Linked DNA regions of Rattus norvegicus. The main gene of each other region encodes a partner of the protein of the gene in region 2 in a complex. Links are inferred from orthologs where the notes say so. Each region holds a gene or a part of one and is shown on either strand. Other genes may lie near its edges.

What was found.
Region 1: Hnrnph2 (region 2) and Ddx5 share a complex: the UniProt entries of both Homo sapiens proteins name them as parts of the ribonucleoprotein complex. The link is inferred for Rattus norvegicus from reciprocal best matches to the Homo sapiens genes HNRNPH2 and DDX5.
Region 3: Hnrnph2 (region 2) and Srsf1 share a complex: the UniProt entries of both Homo sapiens proteins name them as parts of the ribonucleoprotein complex. The link is inferred for Rattus norvegicus from reciprocal best matches to the Homo sapiens genes HNRNPH2 and SRSF1.
Region 4: Hnrnph2 (region 2) and Pa2g4 share a complex: the UniProt entries of both Homo sapiens proteins name them as parts of the ribonucleoprotein complex. The link is inferred for Rattus norvegicus from reciprocal best matches to the Homo sapiens genes HNRNPH2 and PA2G4.

The regions. Positions count from the first base shown.
Region 1 is NC_086028.1:92,229,116-92,233,492, forward strand, and holds the start of Ddx5 (probable ATP-dependent RNA helicase DDX5), read right to left. Parts: upstream 2,814-4,377; 5' UTR 2,725-2,813; exon of another isoform or gene 2,714-2,724; intron 2,617-2,713; exon of another isoform or gene 2,476-2,616; intron 2,186-2,475; 5' UTR 2,045-2,185; coding exon 2,001-2,044; intron 854-2,000; coding exon 688-853; intron 312-687; coding exon 215-311; intron 125-214; coding exon 1-124. Other genes in the region: Cep95 (centrosomal protein of 95 kDa), read left to right, coding at 3,069-3,087. UniProt on the Homo sapiens protein: Involved in the alternative regulation of pre-mRNA splicing; its RNA helicase activity is necessary for increasing tau exon 10 inclusion and occurs in a RBM4-dependent manner. Binds to the tau pre-mRNA in the stem-loop region downstream of exon 10.
Region 2 is NC_086039.1:102,077,165-102,079,982, reverse strand, and holds the end of Hnrnph2 (heterogeneous nuclear ribonucleoprotein H2), read right to left. Parts: exon of another isoform or gene 2,067-2,818; 5' UTR 2,014-2,066; coding exon 664-2,013; 3' UTR 537-663; downstream 1-536. UniProt on the Homo sapiens protein: This protein is a component of the heterogeneous nuclear ribonucleoprotein (hnRNP) complexes which provide the substrate for the processing events that pre-mRNAs undergo before becoming functional, translatable mRNAs in the cytoplasm. Binds poly(RG).
Region 3 is NC_086028.1:73,334,928-73,339,310, reverse strand, and holds the start of Srsf1 (serine/arginine-rich splicing factor 1), read right to left. Parts: upstream 2,814-4,383; 5' UTR 2,690-2,813; coding exon 2,496-2,689; intron 2,077-2,495; coding exon 1,892-2,076; intron 1,542-1,891; coding exon 1,369-1,541; intron 1,172-1,368; coding exon 977-1,171; 3' UTR 607-976; coding exon of another isoform or gene 568-606; 3' UTR 1-567. UniProt on the Homo sapiens protein: Plays a role in preventing exon skipping, ensuring the accuracy of splicing and regulating alternative splicing.
Region 4 is NC_086025.1:1,573,982-1,578,074, reverse strand, and holds the start of Pa2g4 (proliferation-associated protein 2G4), read left to right. Parts: upstream 1-1,280; 5' UTR 1,281-1,400; coding exon 1,401-1,488; intron 1,489-3,395; coding exon 3,396-3,524; intron 3,525-3,750; coding exon 3,751-3,856; intron 3,857-3,944; coding exon 3,945-4,014; intron 4,015-4,093. UniProt on the Homo sapiens protein: May play a role in a ERBB3-regulated signal transduction pathway. Seems be involved in growth regulation. Acts a corepressor of the androgen receptor (AR) and is regulated by the ERBB3 ligand neuregulin-1/heregulin (HRG).

The DNA.
Region 1 (4,377 bases), on a different chromosome or scaffold from region 2:
TTCCCAGATCCAGTCTGAGCTACTCCAACCATATCCAATCCACTGAGAGCAACTGGCCAGCCCTGAGCTTGGATAGCAGTGGGTTCAGTGAAGTTCTGCCTTGCAATCACATCCATGACATTTGCTGCAACCAACAATACCATTTTAACAAAAACTTATAGGCAAAAAAAGAGGGAAAAAACGTAAAGGGTTAAAGATAAAATTTATTCCTTACCAGGAAAGTTTGCTTCATAAAAATTCAGAACAGGTTTTGGACAGTTGTGACCTCTGACTGTAATTTCCTTGCTTCTTCTGTACGTATCTACCTCTTGCTGAAAAACAAATGATCTTGGTCTCAGACCTAGGCCAGATACACCGACAAGTTCCCTACAGCTCAGTTACACTCATTTCTAACTATCTGGACCCATAAATGGAACTCTACTTAGCAGTAAAAATCACAATACACATTAAAAAAAAAAAGTGTCTATGAAGCCCAAATAGGCTGACAAGCCTGTTTCCCCAGTGATGTTTCCCCAGAGATTAACATATGGCCATTACACCTGGCCAATACACAAGAGAAAATTCAATGGGAAGTCAGACAAGTAATTCTCCAAATAATCTGCAAGGCACCTGCTAAGTTTCCATCTAATTGATCAGAAGTAGTTACTACTGAGTTATAGCACGATGAAGCCACATTTAAATACTCACTGCGGTGCGCCTTGCCAAATCAGGGTGTTCCTGATAAAAATTCTTCTCAAATTTGGGCAGCTCATCAAGATTCCACTTCTTTTTAACTAGTTTCTCCCCAGGATTTCCAAACTTCTTTCCAGATAGGGGTCCTGTTCTACTCCCTCCAAATCGAGGTGCACCAAACCTACAAAAAAAAAAGTTAGGTACATTGTGAACAGACTTCTACATGAACAGGTTTGTCTCCACATTTCATTTAATGTCTCTTGATCCGAGCCAAAGTGTGCCTCTGGAATCCTTCCCAACTGTCATTCTACGGACAGCCACAACTGGCAGCGTTTCTTTTCTGAAGTCCCAAGTACACTCTAATGAGGCCAAATAAACAGCGTGGGATCTATCAGGTCCCAAACTGCCCAAACGTCTGAAGTTCAGATTACAAGGACAACAGCTAGAGGCTCCCTCTTCTCTCCCCACAGAGCTTAGGAATTAAGTGTCTAGGAGCTGGACAAGAAGGGAGGAGCTTAAGAAGGTTATTTTTGCCACTGTTTTCATCAAAGGGCCTGATCTTAAAGAAATAACGGGACTGCGCAGGCAACGTGAGTGGCTATGGGAGGACGGTACCGCGGGCAGGGTAGAAAGGGGCACACGCGCCAGGGAGCCTTGTTTTAGGAAACGCCGCGAACGGCTGCAAATCAAGGTAACAAAATTATATAACGCGAGGGAGAAAAAGAGGAGGAGTCGACGGCAACCGGGGGAGGAGTCCCGGCCCGGGCGGCGTTCCCGCTGGGGCGGCGCTTCCTTCTTTGTCTCGCATTTCTCTCTGCGCCACATTTTCTCGACGCTGCCATTTTGAGCTCCTCCGCCGGGCGGGGTAACAAAGGCGCCGCCGCCATGTCCGAGGCCGGCATTTTGTGGCTGCGGCTCAGCCACATGGCTGAATCCGCTGGCGTAGGCCACCCTACCGGGCACAGACGGCCTCGAAAGCGCCCCTTGTATTCTCTGGGGACCCCGGGGGCCCCCCTAAAACCCCCAGCGAAAGGCTGCGCAAACGACGCCTTGAGCCGACTCTAAGGCGAGGCGCTTCCCTATCTAAAACACCTCCGGGCTTCCCACAACAGCCGCGAGGTCGCCCAGGCCGCCGTCCTCCCAAACAAAAACCAAGGTTGAACCCAGTTACCAGAAGCGTCGCCTTTAACGGCTTTTTAGCCGGATGTCAGAGAAACGCAAGGCCTCCTACCAGAAAAAAAAATCTAAAGGTCGGTTGGAAAGCCGAGCTTCTGCCGCGCCGCTCTCCCATCCCCCACCCGCCCTGACAGGTCCCTTGTTATACTCACCCTCGATCCCGGCCGCGGTCTCGGTCACTAGAATAACTCGACATGGCGTCAATGGTTGCGGTGTGCTGGAGGAACCCAGTGAAAGAGAATCCAGTTGCGACGAGTCGCTGAAAGGAGGCCTCGGCGACGGCGAAGCCTTTGCGGGGGCGTCACCAGCGGAGGGACGGCGGTGACGAGGGCCGGAGCTGTAAACCCAAGGACCGATGGAAATGAATGAGGTGCCGGCTGCGTCCGGGCAGCCGGTTTTATAGTCTGGACCGCCTCCTCGTCGCAAAGGATGCTGGGAGCCGCTCTATGACCTAATCACCCCGCCCCCTGGCTCCAAGGCCTCAACGCCCGCTGGCGTTCCGGAATCCGCCATGTTCTCGCCCCTCCCCCCCGCGGGCGCTCCCTCATAGGCGCCCGTTTATTACTCGCTTCTCGACTGGGTGACACCACTAGAATGCCCCGTCCCACACCCTTTTGGCTACACCACCTTCTCGCCTTGCTACATGTCAAACAAGCTTCTTCCCCGTGGCCAACCAGTCATTAAAATGGCCAGCACCAGCCATCCTACTGTCTCTACTTGAAGATGTTTACGTCTTCACAGACTCCCCCACGCCCATAACCAAAGAAGACGGGGGAGGCGGAGCTTGGCGTTGTCACGTGATTGTACCCTGGGCAAGGCGTATCGCACTACTTTCTCGCTTGCCTTCGGCGGAGGAATACAAAACCACAAACTCACCGGAAGCGCGGCTCTAACGCCCCCAGGAGATCGGCCGGGCTGCTGGGTGACCTGGCTGCCCTGCACGCCGATCTGAGAGCCCTTAAGCGGGATCTTGTCCGCGGGGAATGGTATCTGGAGCCCGCAAACTGCCGCCTAAGCGCGTGCTGCGAAAGGAAGTGCTTCTCTTCTGACCAATCAGCGGCGAGAAGCCGTTTTAACGTCCCTCCCTTTTCTACCCCTCCTTCCCCGCTCTCTGGTTTCTACCCCCTCCTACTCCCTTCGGTTCTACCGGGTTCGACCCTTCCAGGACACCGTCGCCCGCGCTCTCGTCTTGGAGTCTGGCCGCGACCTCACTTGGCAGTATGGCCAGCTCAGAGGCTGGTGAGTCTCGGCCTGGAGCCCTAGTGTTTTTGTACTGCAGCATTCCGCAGGCCTCGGGCTGAATCTGAGCCATGTCTGGGCTGCTGGAGAGGCTCGTGATGGTTGGACACTAGTTGCAGTCGCAGGGAATCTCTAAATTTAGGGTCTCACCCTCGAGACCTCATGTGTTTTCCAGGCGTGGAATTGAGACTTGGGATGAGACAGGAGCTCATTGACAAGGCTGGGATACCCTCATCCTGTTTTTACAGAGCAGTCAGGATCCTTCTTGGATCCGAGTTTCTGTGGGGTATCTAGCCACAGACTGTCTCTCCTTCCCCTTTGGTTTGTTTGGACTAAGGTTGAACCTATCTATATATATTTTTTCCTTTTGAGGCATAGCACTCATAAGATCTTTTGATGCCCTCTACAGTAACTGGCTTTGTCTAGTACAGCCTTTAAAAAGCCAATTGACTCGGTTGTCTAGGACGCTTTCCTCGTCCTTTCCAAGACAATACAAAATGGTTGTCATGGCTTGGTCAGCTGTGCGCATTGGGCATTGGAAGGAGGGCAAAATGGGCATGACACATTCAGACTACTGTCTCCAGAATGTCTGACTGTACTGGAAATGTGACCAATTCTAAAGTGCTTTCTAATATCCAGTCATTTCAGGATACAGGCGTTTCAAGCTTTCGGAATTATTGCTGAAACCCTTAATCGTTAGTCCTGTACTATCTGGGGGAGGGCACGAGCTGTTTTTGGAAAAGAACAACGGGGAGCTTGATTAGGATTATTAATGTGCTAGTTTAGAGCTTAGCGATTTGGCTTTTTTTTTCTTTCATTTTTACCTTCGTACACATCAAATATAATAAAAAAGAAAACTAACAAATGCATTAGTGTCGGTGTTGTCATTATTCAAATTCCTAACAGCCTAAATTAATCACTTGTTTGGGCACCCGAGAGATCTTACTTATACAAGATAATTGGGTAAAAACATGTCTAAAAACTACTGGGAATTCAGAGCTACCTCCATTAATTTCTAGCAGTTTTTAGGTTTTCATTTACAGCTGTCTTACGATATTCCTGGTTACCTATAAATTTATTGTAACTAAAAACACCCATGTGAGTATAAAAATACCGGTAAATAGGATTGTAGGTTGCAAGAATAAAAGTTGGGTTGGCACGACAGTTTTGACTGCATAAGGAGCTAGCTAGCACTGGAAATCATCCCAAAAAATTAAATACGTCTTTTGAAAACTTGCCTGGTTGAGTCTTTGAAATTTCATAACAAAGTCCTTATCTTCTACAGTTTTC
Region 2 (2,818 bases):
CTAATGTATTGGTATCACATCTCAAAATTGTCCCGGATCTTTAAAAAAAAAAAAAAAAAAAAGGTGAAAGTGTACACTCACGTGCCTTACAGGATATTAAACCAAAAAGCTAGAATTAACAAACATGCCAAATGTCACTTTGAATCAGACACAGCTCCTATATTTTTTACAGAAAAGCATGTTTCTCAACATGCATCTGAAGTTTTCGATGTATTGTGGTATAAGAGCAACATTTAACGTAAGTGAAACTGCTTTAAACCTAAAGATGCTTACTGCTTAAGTACACTCCTACAACATAACTAACTTGAGGAAAGCTGAAAGTGGAATTGACAGTTATGGTCAATACTGAACTTGTTATTACATCCTAGATGAATATTTTCAGTGTTCAAAATTGCTGAGCTTAAAGTTTGAAAACAATCGTAACTTTCACTTTACAGTAAGCATGAATCACAAGCTTGTAATGCGAAACTGTTAAACTTAAATTTTGTTCTCTTTAAAAAAAAGGAGAAAGAAGAAAGAAAGAAGCTGACCAATAGTGATCAGAAGCAATTGTATTTCCCATTTACCAATCATACTGGATATGCTGGACATCCTCCCTACTCTATCCAGTTCCTATAATGTACTTTTTATTCCTGTAGATGCTCTTTGATGCTTCCTCTCTTCCTAAGCAAGGTTTGACTGATAGTCACTTGAGTTTTCCTGAAGAACTTGGTCATATCCGCTCATACTGCTCTGACCACCATAACCACCTCCGTAGCCAGCACTCAGCTGCTGGCTGGCTGGACCTCCATAACTAGACTGGTTGGATAAACCCATCCCTCCCATCATCTGGCTGCCATAAGCACCACCGCTTGCCCCTGCTGTAGAATTCAAAAAGAGCTCTACATAGCTATGATCATAAGCTCCTCCACTCGTCCCTGCGGTAGAATTCAGGAAGAGCTCCACATATCTGTGCTGCATATTTGCTTTATCTTTTGCCATAGCTGCCACAGCGTCTTCATGAGTAGCAAACTCAACGTCTGCCTCACCCGTGACTCTGCCATCAGGTCCGATTTCAATGTGTACTCTCATGGGATTAAGAGGTGAGAAAAAATTGTAAATATCATTCTCAGTGGCTCTGTATGGTAACCCCCTCATGTGTACACAGTGCCCTGTGGTGCTCTGGAAACTGGACCCACCATCTCCATATCGATGATCAGACATTCCTGAGAAACAGTAGTTTAGGTCTCTTCCAAATCTATCAGACCCAAAACCATACCCGTCATTATAACCTCCGTAGTCATCATAGCCTCCGTACCCTCCACCATAGGCACCCCGCCTCATTCTTTCAAACCCAGCTCCTCTGCCAATGCTATTATACCCTCTCCCAGCCCCTGGCCTATCATAAGGACCCGGGCGCTGCATAGTCATGAGCTTTCGAGGGGGATCATAGTGGGTTCGGACTTCAGCTCTGCTACTCTTGAAGATCTCGATGTACCTATGCCCTATTCTTTCCTTGTGTTTCTTTAAGGCCTTTTCAGCTATCTCCTGTGAAGCAAACTGCACAAAAGCTTCCCCTGTGCTCCGCCCCTGAAAGTCCACTGGCAGTGTCATCCCATTTGGCACAATTTCCAACCCTGAAAAGAACTGAACAATTTCTTCCTTGCTACAGCCAAATGGGAGTCCTCTGAGCCGTACAAACCCATCATTGGCAGTATCAGGACTATTTGGACCTGTATGCTTTAACACCCAATCCATTTCAACACTGTTGGATTTGAATACTTCAACATATCTGTGTCCCATGGTTTCTCTGTCTTTCTTTAAAGCCAATTTCACTTCATCTTCAGATTCGAGTTCGACAAATGCTTCACCACTCGGTCTGCCTTCTCTGGTGTAGATGAAACGAACACCTGATGTGCCATTTTGGATTTTGCAATCAGAAAAGAAGCGCATCACTTCCTCGGCTGAGCAGGACCAGGGTAGGCCCCTGACCTTCACCACGAACCCCTCCCTGCCCTCTGTGCTCAGCATCATGGTGACTGATGGACTCTTGGTGGCAAGCTTGGCTCAATGCAATTTCAATGTGGCTTTAAAAAAATTAGAAAACTATTGTCATGAAAAAGTGTATACAATAGAGTAAGAGAAACAAAGAAAACTATTATTTTACAAGTTCTTATCAGTAAGATTTTCAAAGGAGCTATATGAACAAAGACTGCATAAAACTTTTAATTCATTCACTTCGAGGGTACTTATTTCATTTCTATTATGTATCAGGTATAATTAATTTATGGTGGTTATTTCTGGTTAACAGTATTATAGGAATTTTTTGTTTCCATGGATACTTTTTTCCTTTAGATAATTTCAAATATTCTAAATTTTCTGCACTGAGCCAATATATTAACATCACACAGAGAAAATTAGAACTAAATATAACAAAGTGTAACTACATTCCATTATATATAAAAATGAAAATATTCTTTAAATCAAAAGACAATACTCATGAGATGATACAACAAATCCATCCATAGCCTAAGAATATAAACAATGAATGCAAGTCAATAAAATACAGAACTATTAAAGCCTAAAAGATAAATGGAAAAGGCTTAATGGGTATTTATACATTCAAACATGTTTTAGGGGCCACATCCAGTACTCAGTTCTGCCATGGAAGAACCAATTAAGTCTGGAGAAGGAGAACTGTGTGTTGCCCCAAAGGTAAGTGCAAATACAGACTACATAGAAGGCAAATACACAGAAGGACTGGCTGATGAAGTGTATCAACTGGAGACAGAAGGGTGAATGGAAACAAACTATCCTGATTCTGTTCCAGGACTCAGAT
Region 3 (4,383 bases), on a different chromosome or scaffold from region 2:
AAAAGGGAAAGTGAGACAAAAGTATTCCCAACTAGATTATCTACATTAATATGTTGGAATTCTATATTTTGCTGTCATTTTTGTCTTTAAAAAATGAAATAACAACGCTCTATCAGTCACACAGAGGACATGCAGATTTAGCAGTATTGATATTATACTCTGTTTGGAAATAGACACCCTGTACCCACATGTACACCAACAGCAGGCCACACATTAACAGTTGTAACTAAGCACTGTGACAAATTAGCCATTCTTCCCACATTAGTCCCTATTAAAACAAAAAGGGGGGAAGGGAGCAAATAACTGTTACAAAACGGGCAATTTTGCCACAATTGCCAAGGTTTTAAAAAGCAAAGCAATTGTAGCTGAAGATAACTGCATAAGATGTTTGCAAGTCTTTTAAGGTAGATAAAATTTTAACCCTCGCCTTTTAGTATAAGGTCAATACTGCCAATTTCATCTGTGACAATAGCACTTGGAGTCATACCATTGCCTCCATTATTGATCTGATCCTCCTCAATCCTCCTTTTGACAATCCTAAAATGATTGAAATGTGCTCCACAATCCTTAATCCAAAGCATTCTTAATCCATCTCTTCAGATATGTCTACAGAAAGACACATGAAAAGCAAGATAAACATAAGAACTTCCCCAAGTAAGATAACCACAAACACCCCCAACATCCCATTTCACACAAACCAGAGCAGAATAGACATTTACATAATATCACAGTCTGAAGAGCATGGAAATTAACTAAATTTAAACAATCCTGTCTATGACATCACTTAAAATACAAGTTACCAAAGACATGAGGGGAATGTAGATGTTAGGAGCAAGGGGATATTACACAAGAATGCAATTCAACACTTTAGCCCATTCTGAACAAAACAGTTTGAATTAAAAAAAATGAAAAGATTGTACTGAGTAAAGGAAAACTGTATACAACATGGGTTCTACAAAAAGTGTCACCAATCATCTTATGTACGAGAGCGAGATCTGCTATGACGGGGAGAATAGCGTGGTGATCCTCTGCTTCTCCTTGGGGAGTAACTGCGACTCCTGCTGTTGCTTCTGCTACGGCTTCTGCTACGACTACGGCTTCGAGATCGAGATCTTCCATAACTTGGACTTCTGGGCCCATCAACTTTAACCCGGATGTAGGCAGTTTCTCCCTATTGGATAGACAGAACTTTCCATTGAAAGATCTAAGCTTTTACCTGTCTTTCAGACAAGCTGAATGAATACAAAGACAGACCAGGTCTCTGGTAATTTACTCGGACACCCTTGCCTGTATCCTTACCTTCAAATTCCACTGTTAAGAAAACTGTATCCAATTCTGGCCAAAAAAAAGAATAAGTGTATAACCTACCTCATGAGATCTAAACTTAGTGTTATCCAGTTTTCGAACTGCATACGTCATATCTTCTTTCCGTACAAACTCCACGACACCAGTGCCATCTCGGTAAACATCAGCATAACATACATCACCTGCTTCACGCATGTGATCCTTTAAGTCCTGCCAGCTTCCACTCGGAGGCAGTCCTGAAAAAGTGAGTCCCTCCAACTTAATACTACTTAACCTGTCCCACATCAAACGTGTAAGTACATTAAAACAAAGATTAGTTTAAAATACTTAATGATTGTACTTAAGTGTTTCCAGGTAAAGAGCTGGTAAGAGTCAGATCCAGAGTCCAAATTTATTTGTAAAGGATCTTCATAGGCTAGTACTGCAACCTAATTTGGGTAAATCACCACCACAGTAATCTTCATTTACTAAATTCACCCGAAAGACCGAAGTAGTTTAAGACCCCATGTTTAAAGCAAAACAGAAAACTTGCAGACCTCAAAACAATCACGCGGGAAAAATTTTAACCCGCACGAAGTCAACTCACCAGAAACAACCACTCTGTTTTCAGACCGCCTGGATGGCGGGCCATAGCGGCCTCTCGGGGCTCCGCCGCCTCCACCCCCGCCGCCGCCTCGGCCGGTCCCACGGCCGCTTCGGGGAAACTCTACCCGCAGACGGTAGCCGTCGTAATCGTAGCCGTCGCGACCGTACACCGCATCTTCCGCGTCTCTGCGTGTGATCACAGAAAGCAAAGGGGATGAGGAGGGAGCCGCTGGCAAAGCTAACTCACTCGGGAACCCGCGGACAGCGCACATGCGCACCCATGGTGCCAGAGCCCACATGCGCTGCATAATAGGACCGGCCCCTCCCCCACCCAGAAACACGCCGGGCAGACTCCCGACCACCACGCCAGCCCTCAGCGCCTCAGTTTCCCGCTCCGGGGCTGCGCATGGGCTCTGGGGACGTCCGAGGCGGTCAGCCACCGGAGACAACGCGCCGACTCGGCTCCTTACTCGACTCCTGCAGGGGCGATAGCGCCTCGCTCCCAGCCTCGGAGCCCCTCCTTCCCCCATTATGTTAAGGCCTCGGAGCCTTCCCCAACTACTCCAGCCTATCTCCTCAAGGCCGCAAGCCCCACGCTGCCTCACCGCGGGTCCTCGAACTCAACGAAGGCGAAGGGCGGTCCCCCGCGGCGGTTCTTCAGGTCGATGTCGCGGATAGCGCCGTATTTGTAAAACACGTCCTCAATGTCCTTGGTTCGGATGTCTGGAGGTAGGTTACCCACGTAGATGCGGCAGTCGTTGTTCCCTGCCGGGCCACGAATCACACCACCTCCTGACATGGCGGCGACGAAAAGCGCGGACTCGAAAAGAGGCCTTCCCACCAAGCCTAGCGTACGGCAGAGCGAGCCCTCAGCGGCACCACGTCTCCCGCGGCCGGTCCAAAATGGCGCCTTTATCAGCTCGGCGCACTGATATGGGGGGGAGGGGGAGGAAGAGAAGCCGGAGGAAGCGGCTATTCCATTTCAGTGCGCACGCGCACGAGCGTAACGGGTGCTGAGAAGTACGCTCGCGCACGCGCGACGTCACCCTCCGCACGGAGGGGAAAAAGTCCCTCGGGTCCTGGGCTTATGGGATGATTGGCTGGTGGAGCGGCCAGACGTTTGGTAAAAGTCACATACTCTGGTTAAAGGGGTTATTACCAATCCTGCTGAGTCCAGGATAGTCGGTTTCCTCTGGCGTAAACTCTCTCTGGAAGCAGCTCGGCGCTTTAAAAAGATTGGGTGAAACCTAGCCTGCAACTGTGTCCCAACATGCTCCGCGGTGGTAACGGCCTTTGGCGGGAAAGGCGTAGGGGGCGGAGCTAGATGACGCTGGGTGTTGCTCCGGAAACCTGGGCAACTTTAGCACTTCGGTGCGGCCGGCCGAGTTGCAGGAGATTCGTTTAACAGCCTAAGGGGAGCTGTGTGGCTTTTGCTTCTGCGAACCTGCGGTGGGCTGCATTTTACACAGTTAAAAGTGTCTAGACGGATCCTCCATATCTATTTAGATGAACCGTGCCTTCGCTTTTTTTCTTCCTCCTTTCAAAGGATGAAAAAGGAAACGTGATAAAATACTAACTGCTTCTTTGGGCCGAGATCCGGGTTCGGTGCTAGTCTAGGGAGATAACTTTTTCCCCGAGATTATCTGAAATAGGATTTTTGTACTGGATACCACAATTTTGCTTCTTTGTTTTGTAATAACGGGAATAGGAGAGTTTTATTTGTGAAATCATACAGGCTTTTTAATTAAAACAAAACTAAGCTGGACTTAAGTCTGTGTGCCTGAAATCCTATCACTCTGGGAGCTGAGGCAAGGAGGTGATAAACCTACTCTGTGATACACATTTCTATTAAAGGTCAGCCCGGGACATGCAGGGAAACCCTTTCTATTAAAATTTTTTAAAAACAAACCTTTTTCTTGGCATTGTTTTTGAGTTTCGGGTTTCTGTTTTGGTTTGAACAGCCCCTGGCTGTTTTGGAACTCAGATCCTGCTGCCTTCTAAGTGCTAGGATCAAAGATGAGTCACCACCTCCTGGCTAAAACCAGAACCTTTCCTGTTTAGATAATAAGACAGCCAGGTGTGGTGGCGCATTCCTTTCAAAGTAGGCCTCAGAATCTCAGGAGTTCAAGGCCAGCCAGAGCTGTGCAGTTCCTATCTCGAATAAGTATGCTAAATCGGATCCCCGGAAATTTTAAGGTTGATTCTCTACACTGTAATTTTTAGTTTTCAATTTTATTTTATGCATATTGTGCCTTGGGGTGGTGGGTCATGCCCCAGCCCATGTGTGAAAGTTAGAAAATAAAGTGCAGTTCACCACTTGCACTATGTGTGGTCAGGCTTTTGAGGAGCATCTTTATCAGATGAGCCATCTGCTGCCCCTATACATTATCATTTATTTACCACAGTCCAGGGATGTAGGGCTGCTTAAAATGAAACCATTAAATATTAAGACTGGCTGGAGAAATCAAGGACAACGGGGATGGGGGAGGGGCA
Region 4 (4,093 bases), on a different chromosome or scaffold from region 2:
TTTAAGTGTGAGGGAAACAGTCATGAAAATTACTTCTTATGGGAGGAGTTTGAATTTACGTTGGAATCTAACAGTTAAAGTCTCCTGTCACATGACCTTAGTTTATCACTCAGTAAGTGAAACTTTTAAGAGTCAGCATTTTCTTAGACCTCTTCAAACCAACTATTATTTTTATATGAATCTCTAAATAAATTAGCTTTCCCCACAAGATAAAGATATAAACCAGCTTCTTGGTATAAATGAAATTTTATGTATTTATTTATAAACAATTTCAATGTATAACTTGAGAATTCTGAAGTTTCCTCCAAATAAAAGAACATGCATATTGAAATGAAAAAAAAAAAAGTGACCATATCTGGGCTGGAGAGATGGCTCAGCGGTTAAGAGCACCCGACTACTCTTCCAGAGGTCCTGAGTTCAATTCCCAGCAACCACATGGTGGCTCACAACCATCTGTAAAGAGATCAGATGCTCTCTTCTGGTGTATCTGAAGACAGCTACAGTGTACTTATATATAATAAATGAATAAATCTTTAAAAAAAAAAAGAGTGACCATATCCCTCCTAAACATTTCCCTTAGATGCCCCCATCAAAACTCATGGTTAGAACAATAGTGCCATTTTATTCTAGTCTAGTAGGAAGCCTGGCTTTCATATTAGCAGGCCACGGTACACAATCACTCAGACTGTCCAGTTAGTGCTCACTCCTTGCATGCACCCTAGGACTTCCACCTCCACTCAGCCCCTCCCTGTTCTCCCGGCACAGGAGGATTTGACCAGCCATGCCGGTCGCACCTGCCGACTCCGGAATCCGAGGCTACGCGCACCGGACGACCGCCCAAGGAGTACACACCTTGACCCTGATCCTATAGCTCCACCCGGCTCCACCCTACCCAGCGGCCTCTCAACCCTTTTCTCCGCGTAGCTCCGCCCCACCTCGCTTGGCCCGCCCCTCGCTGTTAAGAGCTCTGGGTCGGCGCTCTCTTGAATGAGAGGTTTTTCCCGGAGACACCACGCTTTCCTTCAACCTTCCCAACGGCTCCGCCTTCCCGCCGGAGCCAGACTCTTCCCAGCGTGCCCGGCGACTCCGGCGTGCGCAGACTTGGGAGGGCAAGGCCCCCAGGGCCTGGCGGAGGTGCGCGAGGAGCAGGCTGGGAATTGTAGTTCTCGAGCGCTCGAGGGCGGCTGGAGACTGGCCGCCGGCAGGACTCATTGTCCCAGTGTACCCTGCGCCTTAGCCCGCGCGCTCGCAGCTTCTCGCTCTCTGCCCGCCCTCCCGCTCCCTTGCTAGCTCGCGCTTTCCTCGCGGATCGAAGAGACTCCGGCTACAGCTTGTGGCTGGGAAGGGAGACGGAGGCCGCAGCTCAGGGAAAGTGAAGCTGCAGTAGTGGCAGTAGGAAGATGTCGGGCGAAGACGAGCAGCAGGAGCAAACTATCGCCGAGGACCTGGTCGTGACCAAGTATAAGATGGGGGGCGACATCGCCAACCGTGAGTGCGGCCTCGGGGGTCTTGGAATCGAGGCTGAGAGGGAGAGGTTTGGGGCTGTCTCCGAAGGGCTGTAGCGGCTGGGTCTTGCGGAGTGAGCCACCGAGGGGCGCGTGCCGACGGCCGGGGGCGACGTGGTGGGGAGATCTGGTGTCGCCCCGGGAACTGAGCAGCCATGCCTGGGCTGGAGAGTGGAGGTGCGGGCCGGTGACCGCGAGGAGCGCAGAGAGGGGCCCAAGCATGCTCCGACCCTAGGCGGTTGGTAAGAAGGCAAGGCGCGTCGTCTTCTGCCCATCACCCTTCGGTCTATCGGGTCTTTGCTCCTGACTGGCAGCAGTGAGGCCACCTCGAAAGGGAAGCGGCCAGCTGTTGGCGACGGAAGCGCCCCTTTGCCAGTCGCGGCTCTTGACCCGCGGGAGCCGAGCCGGCACGTGTTGCCAGGTCCCTGTACGGATCGCTGACTCCCCACTTCCTCTCCTACCGCTCCTACCGTGCTTCACCACGTGCTTTGCTAAAGTCTTTAGGTCTTCTTGGTGGGGGCCCCCCTTCTCCCCTTGACCTAGCTTGGAGGGACCGTTGGAAGACACGACTGGAGCTTCTAACACAACTCTTAAAGATACCTGGCTCTCGTGTGTGGCTACAGGATTTAGTAGGATTAGCCTTTAATTTTTTGTTTTTAGAGTCTTTGCAGTGTTTTGAGGTTCTGCTTAGACAGCTGGGCAAGCCTGTCAATAATACTCAAAAGGGGTGGAGAGGGATTTTAGGAATATAAGCATTTCTTATATGGTCTTTACTCTCTTTAACAGTTGTCTGCCACTTGGGCAAACAACTTTCCTGTTTTCTTGTTCCAGTTCTTCTCCCTTGCCCTCTTATTTTCTGGGGCTTTCTGTGTAGTCCTGGCTTTCCTGGTACTCCTTCTTAGACCAGGCTGGCCTGAGAGATCCGCCCACCTCAGCTTCCCAGAGTGCTAGAATTAAAGGCGTGTGTAACCACGCCCGGCTCTTTTCCATTTTTAAAAGTCACTTGAGATAAAAACTGTCTTAGGTCTTTAGAAGGTCTTGACAAAATACTTGGAAGAAGGTATTTAGGATGTCTGGTTAAATCTGAGTTCTTTTGGATTCTAAAGAGTAACCAAAACATAAATCATCAAACCTAGAATTCCCATGTATCATAAAGACATACAAAATTAATACTTTTATTTGGGGTGATGTTTTAGTATTTGATAGTGGTTTGAATAAGACAAAAATTTCCAACCCTACAATTGCCTTAGGCGATAATAGCTTTGAAAGGGTTACATGTTTTCTTGATATACTGGAAGTAGACTTGTAGCCCTCTGAATCTTTGAGACCTTAGGTTAATTCCCCTGGGCTTATATCCTTATATGTGGGGAAATACAGCTACATAAATTATGATTACTACTTGGTGTCTGAGGAGGGAAGAAGGTAACATTTAGCAATGCTTCATCTTTGACTCAGCAATTCTCTACCTTCCCATTGTCCCTGACGCCTATAAATTTCTTCTGGTCTGCTTGTGAGTGTAGGGTATCTTGGGGCAGAGTTTCCTGACCATCATGATTCGTATTGCCATAGCATCCTTGGAGTGTGTGAGACTTGGGGCATATGCCCAAGTGTCAAGTAATTTAAAGGAGAGAAGTGAGTCCCCACCTCTTTATTTTTGGAAGGGAAGGTAGAAAGTAGAGCTGGGTATGGTGGTCACCTTTAGTGATACTTGTGGGAGGCAAAGGCAGGCAGGTCTACACCGTGAATTCTGGGACAGCCAGGGGTATATATGTCCTGAGAACAAAGACATTAACGATCACTCCATTAGGGCGTGTTAGAAACTAAACTGAGCTTCGGGTCCAATCAGATGATGAATGCATACAGGGCTGATGGTGCCACTCTCGTCCCCAGGGGTGCTTCGATCTTTGGTGGAAGCTTCTAGCTCAGGTGTGTCTGTACTGAGCTTGTGTGAGAAAGGTGACGCCATGATTATGGAAGAGACAGGGAAGATCTTCAAGAAGGAGAAGGAGATGAAGAAAGGTAAGAAGGGCAAATCTCCCTCTTAACTTCCTTAATTTCTCCTATTTGAACCCAACCACCTAGTCGCCCTCCCCCGCTCCCCCAATGTCCGGTTAAGCTATTTGGAAATCTGAGTAGCACATGGGATGGGTATGGTTTCCCAGACTGAGCTGAGTATGGAAACCAAGTCCCAGCAGGGGGTGTTCCCTGGTGAGAGCGAGGTGGTAAGGTTGGTGCTCTTTTGCAGGTATTGCCTTTCCTACCAGCATTTCCGTAAATAACTGTGTGTGTCACTTCTCCCCTTTGAAGAGTGACCAGGACTATATACTCAAGGAAGGCGACTTGGTAAAAATGTAAGCTCAAGCCTTTCTGCAGTATTTGTCGTTTTCCTGCGTATTCCAACTGTCAGTTCCTAATGCAGTGCTCTGTCTTGTCTTCCAGTGACCTTGGGGTTCATGTGGATGGCTTCATTGCCAACGTGGCTCACACTTTTGTAATTGGTGTAGCTCAGGTAAGAGCTTTGAGGAGAGGATAGACTGCCGCTTGTGCTTTTAATTTGTACATAGCTTTTTATGTCTTTATTGTTTTAA